Elephas maximus indicus: one gene and its partners. The protein of the gene in region 2 interacts with the protein of the main gene of each other region in a biochemical or structural test. Links are inferred from orthologs where the notes say so. Each region holds a gene or a part of one and is shown on either strand. Other genes may lie near its edges.

Region 1 (7,859 bases), on a different chromosome or scaffold from region 2:
GTGGGGGCAGGGGGCTGGAGGAAAGGACTGCAGGGTAGCGAAGGTGGGTGGTGTGTGCCCTGGCCCCTGTCAGGGTTGCAGAGAGAGGCAAGCAGGCAGAAGTCCCCATGCTAACCCAGAATCCAGGAGCTGCCCTGCGCCCTTCAACCCCCAGCGTCCAGCTGGCCACTCACAAGTCTGTGAAGTCATCCAGGGTCTCGTCGGGAGTAAACACGTCAAGCAGCCCAATCACCTGGGGGGAGAGGGCCGAGAGCCAGTGGGGTCGGATCATGGCACCTCCCCAAGCTGGCCCTGGGCTCCGGGCAGGAACCCCCCTACAGCTGTCCACCTCCCCCCACATCCACAGGGCTGCTCTGCCCCTCAAAGCATGGCCCAGCCCTGGCACCCAGGCCCACAGATACAGGCTATTTTTGGATGGTGACAGCCAGGATCCTCCAGGGAGGGGCCACCCCAAGTCTGGGATGGCTACAAGCCATCTGAGGGGCTCCAGCCTGGTGACCACTTAGGGAACAGCAGTGTCCAGCAGGTGCTCCCCAGACCCAGGTGGGTACTGCTGTGAACAATCTGAGAGCAGGCCTAGCCCTGCGGAGCCCGTCAGGGAGATGGACAGCCAACAGGTAAACTGGCTGCTGCTGCCCCAGCTCAGGGAGGCCTCCGGCTCAGGGAGGACAGCCAACCTGAGTGGTGGAGGGGCAGGTAGAGGAGTAGCAGGGGTAGCCGGCAGAGGCCTGGAGCGTGTGGCCCGAGGAGGAAGGAAGAGCGCTTCGTGATTTTGAGGAACACAAGGAGGAAGGCCAAGTGGCCAGGGCCCAGGCCAAAGAAGTCAGGCAGGACCTCGCATGCCAAGTGAAGACCTGGCTTTGATCCTAAAATCTGCCCAGGGAGTGTTTTAAACGGGGGCAAGGTGTGAAACAGTTCTCCACCCGCTGTGTGGGGACAGACTGGAGTGAAGCAAGAGTGGACAGGAGGGTGGAGGACAGTTGGTGACCCCTGCAACCACCAGAGGTGGGATGAGGGTGGGGGAGGAGATGCCAGCTGGGTGCCTGGATGTTGGGGGAGGGCAAGCGTGACCTAGGCTGATGAGGGGCATGGGAGAGGGGAAGGGGCAGGGTCCTGATCAGAGATGGGTCCACACCGGACACATGGGCGACCCAAGAGAGAGGCCTGGGCGCAGATGGAGCCCGCAGGTGCAGCACTGAGAGCTGATGGCCTGAGGGTACCACCTGGACAGACAGTGTTTAGCAAGAAGAGAACAGGGAACAGACCCCTGGTGGAGGACTTCCGTGTCTGTCTCGGGTGGATGGTGGCAGGAGGGCGTGGGGTTTTAGGATGGGGAGGCCTGAAGGGACTGGCCTCCAGGTCAATAGTTGCTCTTTCACACACCACTACACCTCAGAGCCCAAGCTTCCTCACGGGAAAGTGGGGGTGCAGCTGGATGGGCCTGATGGCATGGTGGGGACAGCCAGCACAGCAGACAGCATCCTTATTGGCAAGGTGGGGCTACCGCCCGAGAAGGGTGCTGGAGCAGGGTCAGGGCCATGAGGTGACACAACTACAGGCCCCAGAGTGGAAAGTGGTGACGGGGGAGAGGCTGCTGGGTGGAGCTGGCTGAAGCCTGGGCTGGGGAGTGTGACTGGAAGTTGAGGGGCCAGGGAGCCCAGGGCCAGGGTGGGAGACAATGGGGCAGAGCAGGCAGCGTCTGGGAGTCAGGGGAGAGTCTGCTGGGGGACGCGGGAGGGTCCAGAGCATCAGTCAGGAGCACTGAGTGACCTCACAGCCTGCGGAGAGAGCCCTGGCAGGGAGAAGGGCTCTTAGCCACCAGCCTCAGAGACAGGGCAGCCACCTGTGGTGTCCCAGGGACAGGCTTAGAAACAACGGAAGGTCTTTCCCTGGCAGGGCCTGGCTCCTCCTCCGAAGGCCAAGGCAGGAAGGATGGCCCTTTTTGTGCCAGGACTGTGCCTGGTGCCAGGTGCTCTCCCCCACCAGCTCCCTAAACCCTTCACCTTACCAAGACACCGAGGCTGAGGTGATGAGCCCAGGAGCAGAGCGGGTTCAAGAGATGGGGTGGGAGCTAAGTGGAGCCTAAAGAGGAACCATCAGGGGTGCCCCCTGGAAAAGTGCCCCTTCCAGGAAAAATGCTCCTCCCACCTGCAGTGTCTCCTCTCAGCAGAGGCTCCTGGGTTGGAGGCAGGGTTTGGGGTGAGACCCACACAATGCCCCAGACCAGGGCCTGGGAGCCAGATGCGGGCAGCCCCTAGGAGAGGCCAGGAGCTGAGTTCTCTGCAGGGACCAGCTCAGGAGGAGGCCTAGACCCTGGAAGACAGTCCAGTGGCCAAGGAGTGCAAGGCCCCCACTGCCCACGCTTGCCCGGCCCCTCGTCAGGCACTGACTGGGCGCTGTCGTCGTGCCCTGCCTCCACCACTCCCTGCCTCCACCACTCCCGCACGGGGGTGGGGGTGGGGGGGCGGTGACTCCCGACTCACATTCTCGTGGTTTATGTGCTTCAGGAGGCGCAGCTCGCGGTAGGCGCGCTTGGCGAACAGCTCTGACTGGAAGGGCCGGTACAGTTTCTTGATGGCCACCCTGGCGCCGGTGCGGCTGTCCACGGCCGAGCTGCGAGGCAGGCCGCTCAGTGCGGGCCAGGCCACCCCTCCGGCCACCCGGTGCCAGCCCGCCGGCCACGCTCACCACACGGCGCCATAGGCGCCCGAGCCCACGGGCTGCAGGTCCCGGTACACGGCGCGCACCTCCCACGCCGTCTTGGTCACCTCCTGACGGTAAAAGCCCTTGCGGGCGGGTGGCGGGGAGCTCATGGCTGTCCCGCGCCCACCCCGCCGCGGGCGCCGGCCGGGGCTCGGGCCGATCGGCGGGGTTCCTTGGCGCGTCGGTCCGCGGGGCACTCCGGCTCTTCCCTTGGGGTCGCTGCCCTCCGGACACCCCCAAGCCGCTGACCCCGACCCCGACCCGGCTGCAACGGCGCACTGCCTGTCCCTCACCCGCGGACCAACCGGCCCACGGGCCCAGCGCACGTGACGGCCCCGCCTGGGCCCTCCGGAAACCTGAGGCGGCCGCGGGGAGGGGCCAGGGACTGCGGGGTGGGGGACAGGGGGAGCTGGGCCCGGCGTGGCGCTCAGCCCGGGTTCTGGGGCCCGCGGGGTTCCAGTGTGCTCCTTACTCCTCTATACACAGCCCCCTGGGCCCTGTCTGGCCGGCCTGGGCCCCTAACCTCTACCCCCACCTCCGGTGGTCACTGTCCACCAGCCTGCCTGACGCCAAGCCCTCTCCCCCATCCCCCACGGCCTCTTGTGCTCTGCATTCCTGATGTCAACTCCCTACTCCACCACCCAGGATGCCCCCACCCCTGGGGCTGGTTCATCCTTAGGGGAAGGGCTCACTTTTGTCGACAAAACTTTACAGGCTGCAACCCCAACACCTATCCCTGTGGTCACTGTCTCTAGGTCTCCCTGAGATCCCCCCACACCTCTTCCCCAGCCCGCCCGCGCTCTCCAGACCTCCAGGCCCACCTTGTAGGCCCCACAGACACCTTCAGCTCCCAGCCCCCCCACCTGACTTGGGGAGCACTTGCTCCCTGCCTTTGCTCAGCATGGGTATAGTCAGGCATGGTCTGGCCCCATCTTTGACTGGACCCCCCCACCCCTGACATTCTCCCCCAGTCCAGTAACCCCAGGGTCTGAAGAGGGAGCGTGGGGTCCCCCCAGGAGCTGACTTGAGGACAGGTAACAGGATCCTGATGCCCACTACCCCGCCCTCAGTGCCCCGCCTGCCCGCCATGAATCAGCAGCTCAGAGCCTCAAGCCTCAAGCCTGGCCAAGCAGCTTTACGCCTGGTGATCCGGGCGTTCACGAGTAGGCGGTGAGCTCAGGCAGCCTGAGGCCCGGCCCAGCCCAGAGACACAGTCTTCATGTGCCAGGGCTGCTCCTGTGAAGGCAGCATGGCCACCACACCCTCACCTCCTCTAGAAAGTACCCTCTGGGTGCCGCCATCCTCCCAGAGGTGAGGCAGTGTCCCAGTTCTGTGTCTGTTCCTCCCAACACACACTGGACTTGGCTGTCATCCTGGGACCTGAGGCTGTGCAGGTTCACTGACCACATGGTCCTCCACCACTTGAGGCCCAGGGTAAGGTAGGCTGTCCCTGACCCCTGGGGACCCCTGACAGAGCCCAGACCCCGACCCCTACATGTGAGCTGCAGTGAGTGGTAAGGGCAGGCCTGGTGTGGGTTGAAAGGGGCCGCCTTTCTCTTGCAGACTGTCCACACTGCAGGTGGCGCTGTCACTAGCCAGGCAGGAAAGGAATCCTGTGCCCCACCCCCTCTGGGTGGTGGGGACCCAGGAAACAGGGCCTAGAGCCTCAAACACCAGCGGAGCAAGAGGGAGCCCCTTTATTGAGCACCCTGTGAGCAGGCACTTCACATCCAGACCTCTCCAGGGCCCGTGAGGTAGGAAGTCACCACCAGTCCCCTGGATGCAGAGGCCCCACCAGGGAGGAATCACACCATCCACAGCCTCCAAGCAGGGTCCTTTTCCCAGAGGCTCTTGGGGTCAGCTCCATGCTGGGAGGAGGAAGGGATGGGGGTGGCCCCAGAGCCCAAAATCTCAGCCCTGGGCTGCAGGGCCATGCAGGAGAGGGGGCAGAATGGGGCCAAGGTTCAGGGACCAGAGCATCTGTATCCAAGTTCACACCCATGTGTGCACCGCCCGTTGTGTCAGGCCTTGAGGCTGGACACTTGCCTCTTCCCCACCCCTGGTCCCCAGCTGGCATTGTGCTCTCTTGCCTCAGAAACCTGCCATAGCTGCCCTTGGGCAGGGAAAGCACAATGGGTGTCCCTCAGCTGTCTGAGCCCCTTACATGGGGCACAGTAGGGTGTCGGGGCCCCTCATGGCATCAGGAACTGTCAGGGGAGAGGTGGGCAATAGTCCAGCCACCCTCACTTTGGCCTCCCACTGGTCCTGGCTGATGCCTTGGGAGCCTGCAGGTTCACACATGCCAGTGCATGCTTGCACAGGCCTGCACACGCTCCCTCACAAGGAACACATTCACGCACGTGTGCCCACACTGCACAGGCCCTCATGCAGGCACAAGGCAGCTCTTCTGCCCCCCAGGGAGGACACTTCGAGCCTGGTGGGGCACTGGCCATACCCCAGCTCTTGGCCTCTACTTCCTGGCTGAGCAGCTCTGACCAATGAGACCCGTCCCTTTAAGTGTCAGGGGCCCCTGCCCCAACCCCATCCCCAGGTACAGCTCTCTGGGACACAGAGGAGAGGAAGAGACAGGCACACTCCCCAGGCAGCCTCTTGGGCATTCAAGTCCCCCACTGTGAAGCCCCCAGATGGCCGGAAGGAGGTCACCACCATAGGCCCAGGGACATGGCACGCATGTGTGCACACATTTTCCTATGTTCCGACATATGTGTACAGCCTCCCTCTAGGTGCAGCGTGCAGGCTGAGGAGTCCCAGGCTAGGAGTCAGGGTTGCCGGGCCCTAGGGGTGTTGGGAGGCACCCCTCACAGGAAGCCAGTGTTCTGAGGAGGGGCAGGCTCAAGCCCCTTCCATGAGCTTGAGCGTGGCCAGCAGCAGCTCACTGCTCAATTTCCAGGCTGTCAGGCGGCTGTACTGGCTCTGGGGGCTGGAAGCTGAGGACTTCTTGGTAGGTGAGCTCTGGCGGAGGTAGAGAGGAAGGAGCACCCGGTGATACTGTGCCACCCCTGGCCCAGCCCACCCCACCTCCTGTGCATCTGGCACCTGCCACCCAGCCAGCCCCACCCAACAGGCCTGGGCACTGATGCTCTCTGAGAGCAGGCTCCACACTGCACCTCTCTCCAGAGCCTGTGCCGCCCCCATGCCTCTGCTCAACACCCCCACCCATCTCTGCCTGTCCCATCTGGGGTAGGGGCTGTGCTGTCCCTCCTTATGGACCGCCCTGGAGAAAAGCTGGGGTGCTCCCTGCAAAAATGGGCACCGCCCGGCCTCTACCCCAAGATCCCGAGCGCCCACCCTTCCACTCCTCCACCGTGCGTTCCTTTGCCTCCACACTTTCGTCGTAGGGCTCGGCTTCAGGCTCGTCATCAGGGTCATGGTACTGGCTGAAGTAGGCATGGGCCAGGGCTTCGGCTGCACTGACCCGCTGGTCGCTATCCAGGACCAGCATTCTTCCCAGGAGATCCACAGCTGCAGAGCACCAGAGTTAGGGAGGATGTCAGCTCCGCCTCCTGCCAGGAGTGGAACCCAGCCCCACCCTGATCCTGTCCTCACCCAGAGGGTTGGCTCCTTGGAAGATGCTCCGGAGATCCTTCTGGGGCATGGGGGGCAGGGACTGGATGTATGTCCGGGCCTGGGGGCACACAGGCAGGCCTAAGGGAGTGGACCACCCCCTATCCTCTTGGCCTCAAGCGGGGCAGGGGCCGCAGAGCAAAGGCCTAGGCAAGGGCATTTGGAGACCTGAGGCCTCCCCAGCATATCTGGTGGCACCTCCTCGCCTGCCTCCGTGCCTTCAGAACCTTGTGCAGGACTGTCTTCCCCACTCGCACCCATTCATCCCCGAAGGGGTCGGACTCTACCTTTCAGTGGCCCGTGCTCCCCATATAGAGCCCAGCCTGTTTCCCACTCTGTGTCCCCCTCCCCAGATGCCCTAAGCTCAGTCAGCAGAGGGGCCAGGCTCACGTGCTCAGAGGATATCTTTGCCAGAACCTCAGGGCTGGGCGTGCCCACCACCTCCATGATTCGCTTCAGCTGGTCAATGTCTGCCTCGCTCAGGAAATGACCACCGGCCAGGCCTGGACCTTCCTAAGCCCCCAGACCCAGGCCTGGGGACACTGCCCAGAACCTGTTCTCCTACAGTTGGACACAGTGAGCCCATGGTGCAAAGTGGGGGCAGTGTGGGCAAGACCAACCAGGGAGGGCCAGAGTCCACCTCCCTCCCTGTCCCCAGCCTCCAGGCAGGTGGGGACCCCAAATCAACTTTGCTCCCCAACCAGGACAAGGATACAATCATTCCCTGGAAAGAGGGCCTTTCCCTGGAGCAGCTCTGCCATGATGCAGCCCACAGACCAGATGTCCACTGTTGAGGGGGAGGCCTCCATCAGTCTGCCCACCCCAAGTCCCTCCTTGGGGAGCTCCTGGACCTCAGCAGCCCAGGAGACCCCCAGGCCTAAACGCAGTCAGACTCTTCTCCCTCTATTCTCAGCCGTAGGCAGGGGGAGGGGTTAGCGCTGGCTGCAGAAGCCAGGGAACGCCCCTGACCCCTGGCTCAGGGCTCTCTGAAGGTCTGTGTCTGATACTGGTCCACGGCCCGTCTCTCCTCCAAGGCTGGGCACCACTTCCTCTGCTCTCCCTTTGCCCTTCAGCCCTGCCGTGAGCTCTGCCTTCCCACCTGGCCCTGACAGGCACCTGTCTGGCCCCTCTGAAGGCCTGTGTCTGATGCTGGTCCATAGCCCCTCTCTCCCCTTGCTCTCCCTTCGCCCCTCAGCCCTGCCGTGAGCTCTGCCTCCCCACCTGGCCCTGACAGGCACCTGTCTGGCCCTTCTGAAGGCCTGTGTCTGATGCTGGTCCATAGCCCCTCTCTCCCCTTGCTCTCCCTTCGCCCCTCAGCCCTGCCGTGAGCTCTGCCTCCCCACCTGGCCCTGACAGGCACCTGTCTAGCCCCTCTGAAGGCCTGTGTCTGATGCGGGTCCATAGCCCGTCTCTCCCCTGCTCTCCCTTCACCTCTCAGCCCTGCCGTGAGCTCTGCCTTCCCACCTGGCCCTGACAGGCACCTGTCTGGTTATAGTGCATCCAGTTGAGCATGATCTCAGGTGCCCGGTACCAGCGCGTGGCCACATAGCCGGTCATCTCCTCATCGGCCT
Region 2 (7,565 bases):
AAAAACAAGCAAACAAAAAAGCTCTGTATTCTAGGCCTGGAGGTGGGCCACCATGTACCAGGGAGTTGCACTGGCTGTCACTCGTAGCAAAGTTGGTTTCCCTACTTTGAACTTTCTCAGTTTCACACACCAGCACTGCCACGAGGTGAGCAGGAAATTGATTTATGTCCTTGGTTCAGGACTTCAATCAACCACCAGTTTACAAAGTCGCTGCTGACATGTTCTATTTCCGTGGCTAGGCATTCATTTATTCACTCACTCAGCACGCATGCTGGTGAGCACGTAAGCTCAAGGGAGGCCCAGAACAGATAAAAGACCCCCAGACAACTCAATCTCAAATTAGGGGGTGGCTGGGTAAGGAACTAAAAGAATACAAGGTTAGTGCTGACAGAGGAGGTATGTACAAAGAGCCGAGGAGCAGAGAGCCAGATTCCAAATGAGCAATGTATCTGCAAAGGGAAGGAAAATGAATTATGGGTTTACTACCCTATTGCCCTTCTCTTCCACATATCCACAAACATTAAACTGTTATTCCTATCCTATTCATATTCAATCCTTAGGGGACTGGGAGCCTCTGATCTCATGACAGAAGTTTCTAAGGCGCCTAACAAGTCGGGGAAGCTATTTAGAAATGCAATGTTGTTTCCACACCACTCCAAAACAAGCCGGGGAAAATGCAGGCAGAAAAAAAAACCACTTCTCCAGCCAGAGCAACCTGGAATCCAGACTGACCGGCCCGGCACCCTGCAGGACAAGTGAACTGGTGCATAAAACTGCGCCGTATTCCTCAGCCCTTGGCACAACTCCCTAGGCATAACCCCAGTGTCCAATTTGCAGGAGAGACAGGGAGAAGAGTGATTGGAATTTTAGCATTCTAACGTTGCCACCTCTCTCTGGCCTCTTTATGATTCAACCTCTTTCAGTTGGGTTACCCAGGCTTCTAAGAGGGAAATTTTCGTTAAAGCGGAAAAGTTGGACCCACTTTGCTACGTGGATGGGTGAATGTGTCTGAGTCTACCCTTCGCTTCCCGTTCCAGTTCCCAGCCTCTCCACTACACTCGGATTATTCCCAGGTAGAATGAGACAGCGTTCACTAAGCACTCAGCCCGTGCGTGACACGCAGTCGGGGCTCAGTACACCCTGCTAGCCTTGCCTTTTCACACACACCCACTGGGTCAAAGCCTGTCACCACTCTAGGCGCTGGAGAAGTTACCCCCAGGTGGGTAAAAGTTGTCGAAACTCCTGGCCACCTGTCCTCCCCATGCTCCCGGGATGTGAGAGCCTGTGGGTGGTGTGAGTGTGCCGGTGGGTGTGGGCGCGCCTGGCGCATCCCACGCCGTGTTAACCCCTTACCTTCCAGCAACACCTCTTTGCCCGCGCGCTTCAGCGCCTGCACCGCCTCGTCGTGGGTGGCGTCCCGCAGGTCAGCTCCGTTTACCGACAGGATGGCGTCGCCCACGTACAGAGCTTGTGTCTGGTCCGCCGCCAGCCCCTTGAAGATCTTGCTGATGAGGATGGGCATCTTATTCTCCTTGCCCCCCTTGATGCTGATGCCCAGTCCGCCCAACTCTTGCTTCAGCACCTTCACGCCGCGCTTCTGGTTCGATATAGCCTCGGGCACCTGCTCGGGCAGGTCGGTGAAGGCAGTGCGGACCCCCGCTGGCGAGTCCGGGGGTTGCGCGCCGCCCGCGCCCGGGGGCCCGGCGCCCCTGCAGAACGAGCCATTGGTGGCGGTCCCGGGGCCGTTGTATGCCGCCGCGCCCTCCTCGCAGCTCAGAACCAGGGCGTCCTCACTCAAGTTCACCAGAACTTTGTGCCAGCGATCCCGCACCAAAACTTCCAGCAGTCCGCTCCGCTGCGCCCGGCCGCTTCCCGCGCCCGCCGGCCCGGTCGTCACCGCCGCCGCCGCCGCCGCCGCTACCGCCATCTTTCCGGCATTCTTAAAATGCCATGTGATTGCAAAGCGGGGAAAAGTGGGGAAGGGTGGGGCGGGGGCTGGACTCTGGGCCTGGGGGAGCGCAGAGGGCGCGCCCGCGGTCAGGAGGCGGGACGCGGGACTCCGCTCCGGGAGCTCGGAGACGCGCTCCGCGAGTTGGCAGCTGGAGCCGGGCTCACTCCCCTCGCCTGATCCTGGGCGGGGTGGAGCCTCTAAACGAAGAAGGCGAGAAAGAGACGGGGGGAAAAAAACCGCTCTCAATTGCAAAACCCCAAACCCAGGGGCGCCGCGGCACAGTGAAGCGCGCGCGGGGAGAGTGGCAGGAGGAGGCGCGCTCGCGGAAGGGCGGGGACTGCCAGGCAGCCGCTCACCTGTTCCAGCGCCGCAGCTCAGCGGTCGCCCGCCGGCTCCGACTCGGTCCGCCTCCCCTTCGGACCGCGTGACGGCGAGGACCGCTTCCCGCGCGCCTTCCCAGTCCCACTTCTCTCTGCCCGGTCCCAGCCCTCCGTCCTCAACTCTCCCTTCTCCTCAGGCCCCCACCTCGCAGCTTTGCCGGATCTGTGTGTCTTGCCTGAGCACTTTCACTCCATCCTCCTGATCCCGCTTCCCTTTCACACCAATGTGGAATTGTCCCCTAGTTTTGTTTTTTGTTTTTTTTTCCTTCCCCCAAGTGTACCTGAACCGGTCTCCTCTCTCTGACTTCCTCAAACCGAGGCTTGCCTCCTCTGCTAAGTTCTTACCTGGCTCGTCTCTCCTCAAGGAGTCAGGAGGAAGGCAAACCGAGGCCCTGGGCTCCCTGAGAGTAAGGAAAAAAATGTAAGGAGAGAAGGCTATTCCAAGAACCCAGAGTGAAACGTCAGTAGAATCGAGCGTCCTACGCCTCCTCTCCTTAGATGTGGGATATCTTTCTTACCCGGCCTCTGGAGAGGAGTCTCTGCTGGCCTGGGCTCCAGCAGGTCACTGCCTGCCCCAGACTCCAAGGAGAAATGCTCGTCCATCTCTAACACATTAAATGGTCTGCGCTTCTGATCTGTGTTTTCCCCCCAGGGCCACACCAAATGCCTTCTGGAGCTTTCACTTTCTTCCCAAGATCCAGTACAGGAAGTCTCCCAGTTTAAGAACTCAGTTGCAGTGGGTTGTATCTCAAAAGTTCCTTTACAGGTTACTTGCTTGGAGCTAAACCATTGTCTTTCTAGAGTAACAATATTATAATTATTGGTTACCTTTCCAGGCCAATCCAGAAAAGCCAACATAACCCATGTTATAGCCAACCTCTCAATGTCCTCCTGGCAGGGGGGCCACAGGACCTTGAACCTCTCTGGTTCTCCACCCACCCAAAGCAAGCCTCGTGGGCCTGTCAAAGTGTTCCACACTTCTTATTTATCTCCCCTTCCTACATTTCTCTCCCCTCTCTGCAATAACAAAACATAACTCGCAATTCGGTGAGTTCCTCAGGGTTAAACCCGGTGAAGCAAGGTGTCAGGAGGAAGAAGCCTCATAGAACAGGTTCACATTGACGTGTAGCAGCATCATTGGAAGTTCTCGGACCCTTCCAAGAGTTACTCTTTTAATCAAGGATGCTTAAAACTGAGACGAATCTCTAAAGCATGGAGTTGCAGGCAGGGTCACAGAAGAAAATGAACCTTTTTTTTTTTTGAGCTGGGAGAAGCACTGCAGACTGACAAGGAGGAGCCTTTGGATGGCTACTTCTGCTTGGAGCTCCCACCTTTTCTATAGTTTTTTAACCAGCTGGTTTTCCAAGGCTCTTTATTCTTTCGTGCAAAGGCCCCCTACAGCAGGGACAGCAGCCACAAGGACCCTTTAGCCCTCCGTGTGCAGGATCAGCAGGGAGCTGATGTAGGCAGTACCACTGTCCGGGGAAAGTCAGCTAGGGTTTGCCGTAGAAGCTTCGGACTCATACACATCACTGTTCAGGGAAAATTAAAGCCTGAGCGCTTGTCTTCTAACCAAAGCAAGGGAAGATGGGAGTAGGCACTAGAATGCCAGTGTGTTTATTTAGAAATCCAAAGAAAGCCGACCCTGGACCAGAAAGCTGCCGTCAACGTCGTGTCTGCATCTGCTCCCTGTGGACAAGCAATGTGGGAGGCCTAGGCACAAGCAGAGATAATTTATTGATTTGTCATGAGAAATTACAGGCTCTGGGTTGGGAAATCCTCAGCATCTCTATGATTAACACATTTTTTTCCCCTGTGGAAGGAAACCTGCATGGGAAGAGGTAGGTTGCTTATTGAAAGTAGCACCAGAATGAGGGGAGTCTGTTATTTAATATAAATTAGGCCTGAGACATGCATCTTAGCCAGAGATGGCTTTGCCATTGTTCAAGGTGCTGAAGATAGTAAGTACCTCCTGGAGTTCCAGGGAGGATTAAATAAGTTAATAAGTACTAACTTACTTTTTTTTTTTTTTTTTAACTTACTTAGTATTATAGTTATATTAACTTAATATGTGTAGTTATATTAACTTAATACGTATAGTTATATGAACTTACTTAATCCTCCCAGCAACCCCAGGAGGTACTTATTACCTTCATCACTCCCATTTTGCCAGTGAAGATATGGAGAGGTTTAACAACTTGTCCCTGTCGTGTAGCAAGTGCAAGCCAAGGTTTAAAGCCAGTCAGTCTGACTCCAGAGTCTGGACTCTTCACCATTGTCCTACGCTGTTTCTTGAAAATACTCAGAACATGTCAGCTACAGCCTTTATGTCCATCTGTACACAAGGCCAGCCTTTCCACTGGGGACAAAGCACCACGGGTGAAAGCCCCTTCTCCAGGCAGTATGTGGAAGAGTAGAGCCAGCAGTTTCCATGACCTCTTCTTTCCAATATTAGAGGACACGTTATTGACACTTTTTTTTTTTTTAGACACGCTGATGCATTGATACTGGCGACTGCTGTCCTTCTGGCCTTAGAGGCCATGTCTTGTCCTGCAGACCACTCTGCGTATCTGGACCCTGATTATTAACACCGACTCTCAAAGGGAAACAGTATTTACCTCATTTCTTAATTCTTGGGGGGCTGCTTCACTGTGGCCCCATGATACTTACACTTAGGACAGATTATACTCTCTTGTGAGGCCTTAGTGGTTCAGTGGTAGAATCCTCACCATCCATGCAGGAGACCTGGGTTTAATTCCCAGCCCACGCCCCTCACGCACAGCCACCACCTGTCTGTTAGTGAAGGCTTGCAAGTTGCTATGATGCTGAACAGGTGTCAGCAGAGTTTCTCAACTGAGACAGACTAGGAAGAAAGGCTTGGTGATCTACTTCCAAAAAATCAGCCAATGAAAACCTCATGGTCCACAATAGTCCGATTCCCAAACAATCAATGGGATGATGCAGGACCGGGCAGTGTTTTATTCCATTGTTCAAGGGGTCACCATGAGTCAGGGTGATTCAACAGCAGCTAACAATGCTCTTCCCTTTTAAAAAATGGTCACTGTAAAGAACTTAAGAGACCTCAACTCCCTCATTTTATAAGGTGTGCATATATGATGAGAGAGGGCAATACCAACTCAAGGCCACATGGTATGTTTGTGGCAAAGCTAAGCCTAGGTCTGGGTTACCCTGACTACCACTCCAACTTCACTATTCCAAAAAATATACCTGGAATCACCTTTGTCCCCCTTTTTTAAACCAGGTTTGTTTTTGCTTAGGCCTGTTTCCTATTCTGTGTCCTTCTTCTGTCCTAAGCTTTTGACTTCCCTTTCCATCCAGCCAGAACCAGGATCCTGCTATACCTTTTTCTGTGGGACAGACATTTTCTCACAGGTTTTGGGTGGACTTAGACTTGAGGAGCAGGTCACACAATCCTCAGCTTCACGGGGGCCAAGGGTGCATGAGAGAACAGCAGCATGTGGCAGAAGGAGCAGTCTACACCCATTTATTCCACAGTCCTGTTGTGCACCTACATGTCCCAGGTACTGTTTTAGGTGCTGGGATTTGGCAGCAGACAAATGGGCAACAACCTGCTCCCCGAAGCTCACGTTGCGGTGGGTGGTAGAGTGGAAGTGGAACAGACTGTAGATGCATACATAAAATACTTCCGTGTAGAAGTAAATGCCATGAAGAAACTAAAACAGAGTAACAGGATCGAGAGTGACTGGGGGCAAGGGCTCCTGGGGGCTATGGCTGTCAGGAAAGCCTTTATGAGAAAGTGCCATTGGACTGAGACATGAATCACAAGCTGAAGGAAGTCTGGTGGAAATCCAGAGAAGAGGCTTCCAGGGAGAAGGAAGACCCAATGCAAAGCAGCTGAGACAGAACCACCCTTGTCTGGTTTAAAGGACCAAAAGGAGGTCAGACTGGCTAGGACAGCCCATGGGAGGAGGATGAAGGCAGGAGAGGAGATCAGGAGATGGGCTGGACCAGATCACATAGATAACGCCTTGTAGGATAACCACACAGGCCATCTGCTTGTTCCCTTCAAGCTTCAGCAACCACACTGGATTTTCAGGGACAGTCCCGACTTCAAATATTGCTTTCTCTTAGCCCTTAAGTAAACTTCTACTGGTTTGAACATGTCCTCCAGTACTTAGATTTGCAAAATATGATCATTGTACTTTTGGCACTTTTGAATGAAGAGTTGGTCGAACATCTTTAGGGGAGATTTTTCAAATCTATGGTATGAAGAGTGGATACGAGGTGAATAGTGCAGAAGAGGAAATGGAGTACTTTTTTTTTTTTTTTGGATAGCTGGGTGTAAATTAGAGAACAGCATGAGAAAAAAACAGGAGGGATGCTTGGAAAGCAAAACTCCTAAGGCAAGGCCTGCCTGTGTCAATACCTGTTGACTAAACCTTTACCAGGAGCCCTGGTGGCACAGTGGTTAATCGCTCAGCTGCTAATTAAAAACTTGGCAGTTTAAACCCACGAGCTGCTCCTCAGGGGAAAGATGCCGCAGTCTGTGCGGCAGCTCTACTCTGTCCCATAGGGTTGCTATGAGTTGGAACCGACTTGACGGCAACAGGTTACTCTCGTAAAGGACTAAGGTAGGTGCTGGAAGCAGGTGCACCCAGGAATGCAAACACGATTAAGACAGGAAGACAGATACGTTCACAGAGAGTGTGCTGAGTGTGAAAGGCATATGGAAATCACCACCCTCCAGATTCTAAATCATAATACTGAGGTAATGATTCTTATTTTAGAGGTGAAGTTCTAAGGCTGAGGAACAATGCATGAATGGAAGGCTGAGCAGATGTTTTCTTCTCTGATGTGCCCCAGACAGCCAACAGGTCCATCATCAATTGGTTGGGAAGCACTCTGCATTGCCACTCCCCAGGTGGGCCCTTGGTAAACTAGAAAGACTATTGCCTAGACTATCTACCAGCCAGTCATTCAGGTGAGAGGATTTATTTCATGGCTCACTGTGTTTAGAATTTTGTAGTGGGGACTTTTGCGGGAGCAGGGCTAAGCCAAGGCAGAATAGTCAAGTTGTTGTTGTTGACGGTTGCCATTGGGTCGATTCCAACTCATGGTGGCCCCAAGTAGTTAGATGTTTATCCTCTGCCTTCTCTTTTTGAATTCCATTTCTTTCACATCTAGTCTATAACAGCCTGTTATTGAAACAAACCATATGCTAGTCTTTTTATATCTCATGGTATATATTAAAT
Region 3 (7,715 bases), on a different chromosome or scaffold from region 2:
GGCACAGGCCTGAGGTAACTCTGCGTATTCCCCTCTAAAGCAAGAGAATTTTAAGCACTCAAGTAACCACGCTGATCAAAGCTAAATCCCTTAGGAAGATTATCCATTCTGAAATCAGGAAAATCCTGCAATGTAAGCACTTTTCTGCTCCACCTTTGTGAAAAGAACTTGATTTCTGCAACACTGTTTCAAACACACACACATACAACCCTCTAATGCTTGCAGGGCAGAAATAGGCAGCTGCAAACGTGTTTCTGCAAGCTGATGGCCCTCTCGAGGTGTTTCTAGCTCAGCTTGGGGACCATCTTTGAGCTCACACAGAAGAAAAGGAAGAACTCCTAGGGATGGAAGATTTGTTAATGGGCACATAAGCTCAGGACATGTGCACCTTCTCTTTAGAATCAACTCTCTATGGCATGACAGTAAAGATAGAAATTGAAATTCACACTCTCTCCCTAGAGTTTTTTTTTTATGCTAATCCCTCACAAACCCGCCTTGGGTTTTGCAAATGCTCAGATCTGTTAACACCATGAAGGCATCCTAGAATTTAGGAAACTTTGAGTCGAAAACCTCTTTTCTCTGACACCAGCACTGTCCTCTCCCAAGCTCCAAAGTTTAAGGACAAAACCTAGGCTCTAGATGTTTTGTTCAGCTTGCTGTTTTGAGTATCCGAGGGCACTGCAAACTATTTTGGTTACTTTATACTATTGGTTGAATGTCCCTTTTCCCTTCACCAATCTCTCTGTCCATCACACAGAGGGCTCCATGCACTTTCTAAACTTACCCGCAGTTATTTCGCATCCATGTGTGATTTAACAGCTGTTTATAAACCAGCCATGGGCAGAAGCACGCAGGAAGTGGTGTGACGCCATGGCTGTCTATGGTATCGGTGGGAAACCAAACAATGCTATACCACAATCACCCACTGCTTAACTCATGAGTCTTCTGATGTGTGGGAGCCTGGGGGCTCTAGGCAGATGTATTTACCCAAGTCTACCTACCCAGGGTAAGTGACCGTGGGGCCCTTTCCCTAGAGGAATCAGCTGGTGATATTAAGACTGACCAGTGTGAGTGGAGAGGGAAGGTGGAGACGAGCAGGAAGAATAACTAAAGACCTGTAGATGCTGGAGAGGGACATGTCCTACTGACAACATCCAAGCTTAATGTTTCTGAAATGGCCCAAATGTAATTTGGCAAAGCAAAGTCAACATACGTTTCTGACTCGGGGTATTTGAGGCTGCCTGTTCCTGCCTGATGCAATCAACACGGCCCACCCAACACTAAAGAATGAAGACAAACCTAGAATTATTCTGTCTTTCTAGCAGGTCTTTAAGCTGCATCCTGGTAAAACCCTACTGTCTACCTCCTAAGGTGGTGATGGTAACTGCTATAAAGAGCTCAGGGGCAGAAGGCCAGGCCTTCCAGGGACTTGGGCAGAGAAAGTTGGGCAGGGTTTTCGGAGACCTCTCTTACTGGGCTCTTCTCGTGTTGAGGCCACACTGCAAGCGGCAGACCTTCCTTCTTGGGCTCAGTGGAGACTTTGGAAGCCCAACTTAGAAACCTAAGCAGGGCAGAAGACTGAGGAGGAATGCTCTGACCAGATAATAGTAGCTAGGCGGTCCAAGAGTGGGAATGTACCTCCTCCTGTCAAGCCCTGCCCAGGAAATCTGCCTGAATCCAGGATTTTTCTTTGGTTTCCACAACACAGCCACTTGGAAACAAATTTCTAAATCTTTCAAAGCTGAGAAATATATAGTTACCCAGGGAAAGGCTTAAGGTCTTTCTCTTCTATCTCCATGACTTCATCATCTAGGTCACTGGTGGGAACACTCAACCTGAGTCAACCTACAAGTGGACTTTTTCGGGTGTGGACGTCTAATTTGGGGGTAAGGGGCGACAGGGACACTTTATGTTGCTGCTACTTGGAAGGCAGGTACCCAAGCTACAAGCACTCTGGGCTTGTCCTAGAAGCAGCAGCAGCAGCAACTACAACCATCTTTTCTTGGTCCTGAATTGCACATGTGACCCCAAGTACCACTGGGGCTTTTCCTAAGGGAAAACAAACTGTCGTGAAGATCCGTGTGTGCGTGAGCGCGCGTGGGTCTCTGCGTGTGCAGTCTATGCCCGGGGAACCAGTGAGAAATAGATTGAACGCTATAGCCCCTGGCCACGCCGTTCCAGTCCGATCTGAAGCCCCACTGTTGTCCCCAGCTTTTGCTGTTCCCCAAACCTCCCGCAAAATCAAGCGCCAAGTTGCCCGTGGTCGTGGCGGCCCCGGGTGCAAGCGAACCAGCGCGGATCCTACCTCGAGAGCTTTGCAATCTTCACAAAGCTGAAGACATCCATGCGGGCAGCCGGGGACTCCCGAAAGCGCAGCGCTGCTTCCGTTGCCCCTCCTCAAGACCGCAGCGGCCGCAGCGGCAGCCCCATGACCGGGACCTCGGCGCGCCCGGGGCTCGAGTGGCGGCGACGGCGGGTGGCGGCGGCGGCCCGGTTGAGCCGGCACCTGGAGGCGGCGGCTGCTACCCCCCTCCGGCCGGGAGCTGCGTGTGCATTCCGAGCAGGACCGTGGAGCGGCGCCGCGCCGGGAAAAGTCACTGGAGAGGGGCTGGGCGCGGGCGGGGGCGGCCGATCGTGCGCCCCGCCCCGTGCGCCCTGGCGGCGGGAGGCGAGGCGGCGCGGGGGTCCCTCCTGCTCCAGCCGCGACCCGTGCCCCGCGCTCCGGGGAGCGCAGATGCACTGGGAGGCGACGGGCTACTGGCGCGGCTCACGCACCCCTCGCAGCACTGCAGTTGCCTCCCCGCCGCCTTCCTGCCCGAGTCCCCGTTCCTGTCCCCACCCCCACAGCCCGGGGAGGGGGCACACGCTCCTGTCACCCTCTGTGTGCGCCTCTCGAGCGGCAAGATCGGCTCCAACAGTCTCTGGCACACTGAGGGCCCGCAAACGCCACCCCGCCCTCCCCAAGCCCGACGAGGGCCGGGCCACCGCAGTTTGCCCAAAGCCTCAGTGGGTTCCACAACCACCCGTAGCCCAGGCGGACGATCCGGGAGGGTGCAGGCAAGATCGCTGGTCCAAGGAAAGGGGAGGGAGATACCCAGCGCGGTGGGCGCGATTTGGAAAGCGCAGAGTTCTCACTGCCTTCCTCGACCTGCTGGGGCAAGACGTGCCAGCCCGGCCGGCTGGGAAGGAGTGTCTTAGGAATCAGCGCCAGGGGGGCGTCGGCGAAATCAAAACAATTAGAACCAGAGCCTTGTGTGTGTGTTGGGGGCGGGGGAAGAAGCGATAACAGCTAGAGGGGGACAGGCGAGCAGGGGGTCCCAGCAACCCGCGGTGGAGGGGGCGGGGGGGGCTCGTTTGAATGGGGGGCTCAGACTTATAGAGAAGGGATGAGAATGGGGTCTGGCCTGCAGACCTAGCTGCTTTTTCAGATTGAGCGGTGGGTGAAGAAGGAAACAAACAAAATACAAAACCAACCCTCGCCTGAAAAAAACGAAAGCAGAGAAAACGTAAACACTCACCTTAAGCAGAGTAAACTCCAACTTGCAGCCATTTAGCACACCTACCCCGCCTCCCCCTTCAGTAACTCAGTTCTGTCTCCCAGGAAGCCCCTCTCTCTTCTTTCTCTTGGAGTCTCAGGACCTCTTCTCCAAAATCCTTGCAGAATTTCCCCCAAGCTTCTCTGAAGGAAGGTCAGCTGGTCTCCCAAAATGTGTCTCCCACCCAGCAGCGTTCATCTGCCAGCAGGGCCACCGCAAAGAAACGCTGCCACCCCCGAAATACTGGAGGAGCTAGCCACAGCAGCTAGCTCTGGAGGGGATCAGGGAAAACAGAATGGGTTTAAAGTTCTCAGACTTCTGCTCCTCTTCTGGTCTGAGGCTGGATTGAAAGTCTTCAGTATTCAAGCCAGGTACTTCCAAGTTAAAAAAAAAAAAAGCAATTCTTTCAAAAATTAAACATAAAATAACTAGCAATCTGCAAAACCTAATGATTTAAAGCTCACAGGTACAATGCTTACCTTTTTTTTTTTTCTTGAAGTAAATGGAATCAATGTCCCTTGAGCTTCTTGTAGATAAACTATAATTTCATGGCTCAGAGGAGGCCAGGGGAACCTTGGCTTGTGAACCCCCTATTGTTTGTGTAAAATAATAATTATAGTTTGGGTCTGCACAGTGCTTGAACATTTTTAAAACAGTTCTGCAATTGAGTCTCATAGCAACCCTGTCATATAAGTAAGGCACATGTTGAAAAAAGAGAAATCTTTTATTTTTATGCCACAATCTATTTTCAATGTACTAGTCAAAGAAATGTTTTTTAAACGTGGGTCGGATAATGTTACTTGCTGGATCCAAGCCCTGCAAAAGCTGTCCATTCTCCTGAGAGCTACAGTTGCACCCCTACGATAACCAACAAGGTCTTAGTCACCCTGGCCCTTGATCTCTCTGACCCTATCTGACCTCCCTTCTTCTCTCCCCTCCCATCCTGCTCCAGCAACACTGGCTTCCTTGCTGCTTTTCAAACTGGGCAGGTATCCCGCCACGTTAGGCTCTTTGCAATGGCTGTTCCCTCTGCCTGGAATACTCTTCCTTCAGATATTTGCATGGCCAGCTCCTTCACCCCATCAGGCCTTTCCACAAATGTCGCCTCCAAAAAGCACCTCTGAAAAGCCTATCTGAAACTTCCAGGCCTGCATCCCCTGGCCTCTGAGTCCCCATGAACTGCTCCATTTTTTCCTGTTTCCTTTTTTTTTTTTTTATAGCACTTATCACCCACCAACACACTAGATAATTTATTTTTATGTTTATTGTTTCTTCTCTGATTCCTGCACTGGAATGAAAGCTCCACAAGGGCAAGGATGGATTTCACTGATGGGTCTCAAATGTCAAGGACAGTTCCTTGGATATGTTGTTGTTAAGTGCCGTTTGGACTCACAGAGACCCCATATGACAGAGTGGAACTGCCCCACAGGGTTTTCTTGGCTGTAATCTTTACAGGAGCAGATGGCCAGGTTTTTCTCCCACGGAGCTGCTGGGCGAGTTCAAACCACCGATCTCTTGGTTAGTAGCCGATCACTTAAGCACTGTGCCACCAGGGTTTCTTTCCTTGGATGTAGAAAGACCTTAATAAATATTTGTTGAATGGACAAATTTTATGTTCATCAGATTCTCAGACAAATCCAATCGGTCTGGCATCCCATCGGTGCTGCTCTGTCTCTGACCTCAGGGCTTATCTTTGCCCACGCCCCCCACCCCCAAACACACACACTCTTCCTTCCTCAGCAGCCTTCACTGTTTGCATGTCCTTTGAATTGCTAATGTGGCAATGAGGACACTCCCACATTCTCCAGTTCTTTTTTTCCTTCACTCTCTCTACCCCTTCCCAAAAGAGCGGCCACAGGCACTAGGAGACCAGTTTTGGATCAGGAAAGGGGGATGAAACAATGCCTTCAGAAACTGTATTTTGAAAAGTTTTTCCTTTTGAGAACAGAACAGTAGGGCTTTCTTCTTAAAAACATAATTCCATACCAAACAGCTAATCACCTGGTCGTGAAAATGACAAGAAATAGACATAGTGTTGACTTGTAGGGAGACAGACACCCTTCAAGACATCTGGTCGACCTGGAATAGCTTGCTGTTGGGCTTCTCCCCTCCGCCAATTTGTACAGTACAATTATTCACAGTGCAGATGCCCACTCTCCACAGCGTTACAGCCAGCGAGGGAAACGACTGGCTTCTCCAGTCCTTACACTCTTCTGATATATTAATGTTCTGGTATGTTTCTGGTGATCAATAGCTTTTCTTCTAAAGCAAAGACGTTCTGCCCCGCCTCCTTTGTTTCTCAGAGATGTAAAACTGGAAGTTCTGCTGCTCTGAAACACCATTAAGCCCTCTGAAAGAGATTTGAGTAGCTGTTCCATCAGCTCTAAGGAGCCCTGGTGGTGCCGTGGTTAAAGCACACAGCTGCTAACCAAAAGGTCGGTAGTTCAAAGCCACTAGCTGCTCAGGGGAGAAAGATGTGGCAGTCTACTTCCGTCAAGATTTATAGCCTTGGAAACCCTATGAGGCAGTTCTACTTTGTCCTATGGGGTTGCTATGAGTTGGCATCAACTGGACAGCAGTGCGTTCAGTCTGAGTTTTCTATCAGTTCTGACCTTCTCTGTACCAGGTGTGTGCGGCAGAGGTTGGAATATGTTTCTATGTCTAACATGAAATGAATCTCCCTAAAACAAAACAAAAAACCAATGAGTGGCACCTTGAGCAGATTTTCTGAAGTTTTTTTTTTTTAGTCTGGATAACCTCTAAGGCCCCTTCGATATTTTGTAGGAGGAAAGTGGTGGCTCAGTGATAAAATTTTCACCTTTCATGCATGAGACCCAGGTTCAATTTCTAGCCAATGAACTGCAAGGACAGCCACCACCTGTCAGGCGAGAAGCTTCCATGTTGCTGTGATGCCGAACAGGTTTCAGCGGAGCTTCCAGACTAAGATGAACACGGAAAAAAGGCCTGAAGATCTATTTTCGAAAACCAGCCAATGAAAAAACCCTGTGGATCACAGTGGTCCAATCCTGTTGTACATGGGGTTGCCATGAGTCAGGGTCCGACTCAATGGCGGCTAACAACAACTACGACATGCTTTGTAGAGGTTTTACTCATCAGGACCTCTATTACCCTCCTTGCAAATCTACTTAATTTGCCTTACTTGTATCCAAGAGACATTTGGCCATTTCTGAAAACCAAACACACTTTCAAAGACTGTTGAATTTACTCATGAATAAGAGACTCAAAGTCAACGGATCCAGAGTAAGTCACTTAACTTCTCTGAGACTCAGTTTCCCTGCCTTTAAAATGGAAATGATAATACATCCCTACCTTACCGAATGAGCGCTTGAATGTGGACACCAGTTCAGAGTTGGCACATGGATATTAGCTCCAGAAAGACATCCACACCTGTTTTGAGTCTTGGCAGCACTGTCACCAAAAGTTGCAGCCTCTAAAATCACTGCTTTGAAGATGACAATATTTGCTTGGATTGTTCAGATGTGGATATTTTTGCCACAATCATCGAAACCCTAAGCAGTGTTATTTTTTATGCTCTGGGAGAATTCTCAGGACAAAATTTTTTATGCTCTGGGAGAATTCTCAGGACAAAGAAGAAGGAGTTTCTTCTTCGTTAAGTTCTTACCTAAAGTTGATGTTGGGAATCTACTATTGGCCCAGATGTTTCATACGGGTTGGCAGCTAAGGGTCCTTTTGCTGCACGTTACAATAGAGAAAACTCTATGCCTTTTCCATTTGGACTGTAGCATCTCAACCATCTCGTTATAGCCCTGAAAACAGAAGTGAGTAAATAAAAGCATAGTATCCATTCATTTAATAAATATTCATGGAGTTTTTCCTTTGTACCAGGCACTGTCCTAAGGAAATATACCAGAGAACAAGGCATATTTCTGCTTTCATAGAACTTACATTCTAATACGGAGACAGACAATAAAAATATAAAATATCATATCATGAAGTATTACTTCCTTTGCCAGGACACCAGAACTGGATGGTGTCTGGCTACCATTACTGAATGTTTTGATCAAGGACTCAATACAATAGACGAGTCCTGATCAAAAAGAGGAAAAAGATGGAACAGAATTTCAAATTTCTTATAGAATCCAGACTTACAGGACCTATTGAAGCTGGAGGAAGCTCTGAATCTGTTGCCCTGAGAAA

Evidence for each region. The genes of interacting proteins can lie anywhere in the genome.
Region 1: the proteins of SNTB1 (region 2) and MAPK12 interact in a test that uses a peptide from one of them, tested with the Homo sapiens proteins (2 studies listed by IntAct, with this or other methods). The link is inferred for Elephas maximus indicus from reciprocal best matches to the Homo sapiens genes SNTB1 and MAPK12.
Region 3: the proteins of SNTB1 (region 2) and FRMPD4 interact in a test that uses a peptide from one of them, tested with the Homo sapiens proteins (2 studies listed by IntAct, with this or other methods). The link is inferred for Elephas maximus indicus from reciprocal best matches to the Homo sapiens genes SNTB1 and FRMPD4.

What each region holds. Positions count from the first base shown.
Region 1 is NC_064822.1:196,610,084-196,617,942, forward strand, and holds the start of MAPK12 (mitogen-activated protein kinase 12), read right to left. Parts: upstream 3,007-7,859; 5' UTR 2,814-3,006; coding exon 2,689-2,813; intron 2,614-2,688; coding exon 2,484-2,613; intron 233-2,483; coding exon 174-232; intron 1-173. Other genes in the region: MAPK11 (mitogen-activated protein kinase 11), read right to left, coding at 5,927-6,186, 6,271-6,349, 6,679-6,758, 7,004-7,075, 7,770-7,859. UniProt on the Homo sapiens protein: Serine/threonine kinase which acts as an essential component of the MAP kinase signal transduction pathway.
Region 2 is NC_064833.1:21,924,238-21,931,802, reverse strand, and holds the start of SNTB1 (beta-1-syntrophin), read right to left. Parts: upstream 3,015-7,565; 5' UTR 2,850-3,014; intron 2,733-2,849; 5' UTR 2,677-2,732; intron 2,274-2,676; exon of another isoform or gene 2,149-2,273; 5' UTR 1,928-2,148; coding exon 1,354-1,927; intron 1-1,353. UniProt on the Homo sapiens protein: Adapter protein that binds to and probably organizes the subcellular localization of a variety of membrane proteins. May link various receptors to the actin cytoskeleton and the dystrophin glycoprotein complex.
Region 3 is NC_064846.1:167,817,105-167,824,819, forward strand, and holds the start of FRMPD4 (FERM and PDZ domain-containing protein 4), read right to left. Parts: upstream 3,007-7,715; 5' UTR 2,347-3,006; coding exon 2,306-2,346; intron 1-2,305. UniProt on the Homo sapiens protein: Positive regulator of dendritic spine morphogenesis and density. Required for the maintenance of excitatory synaptic transmission. Binds phosphatidylinositol 4,5-bisphosphate.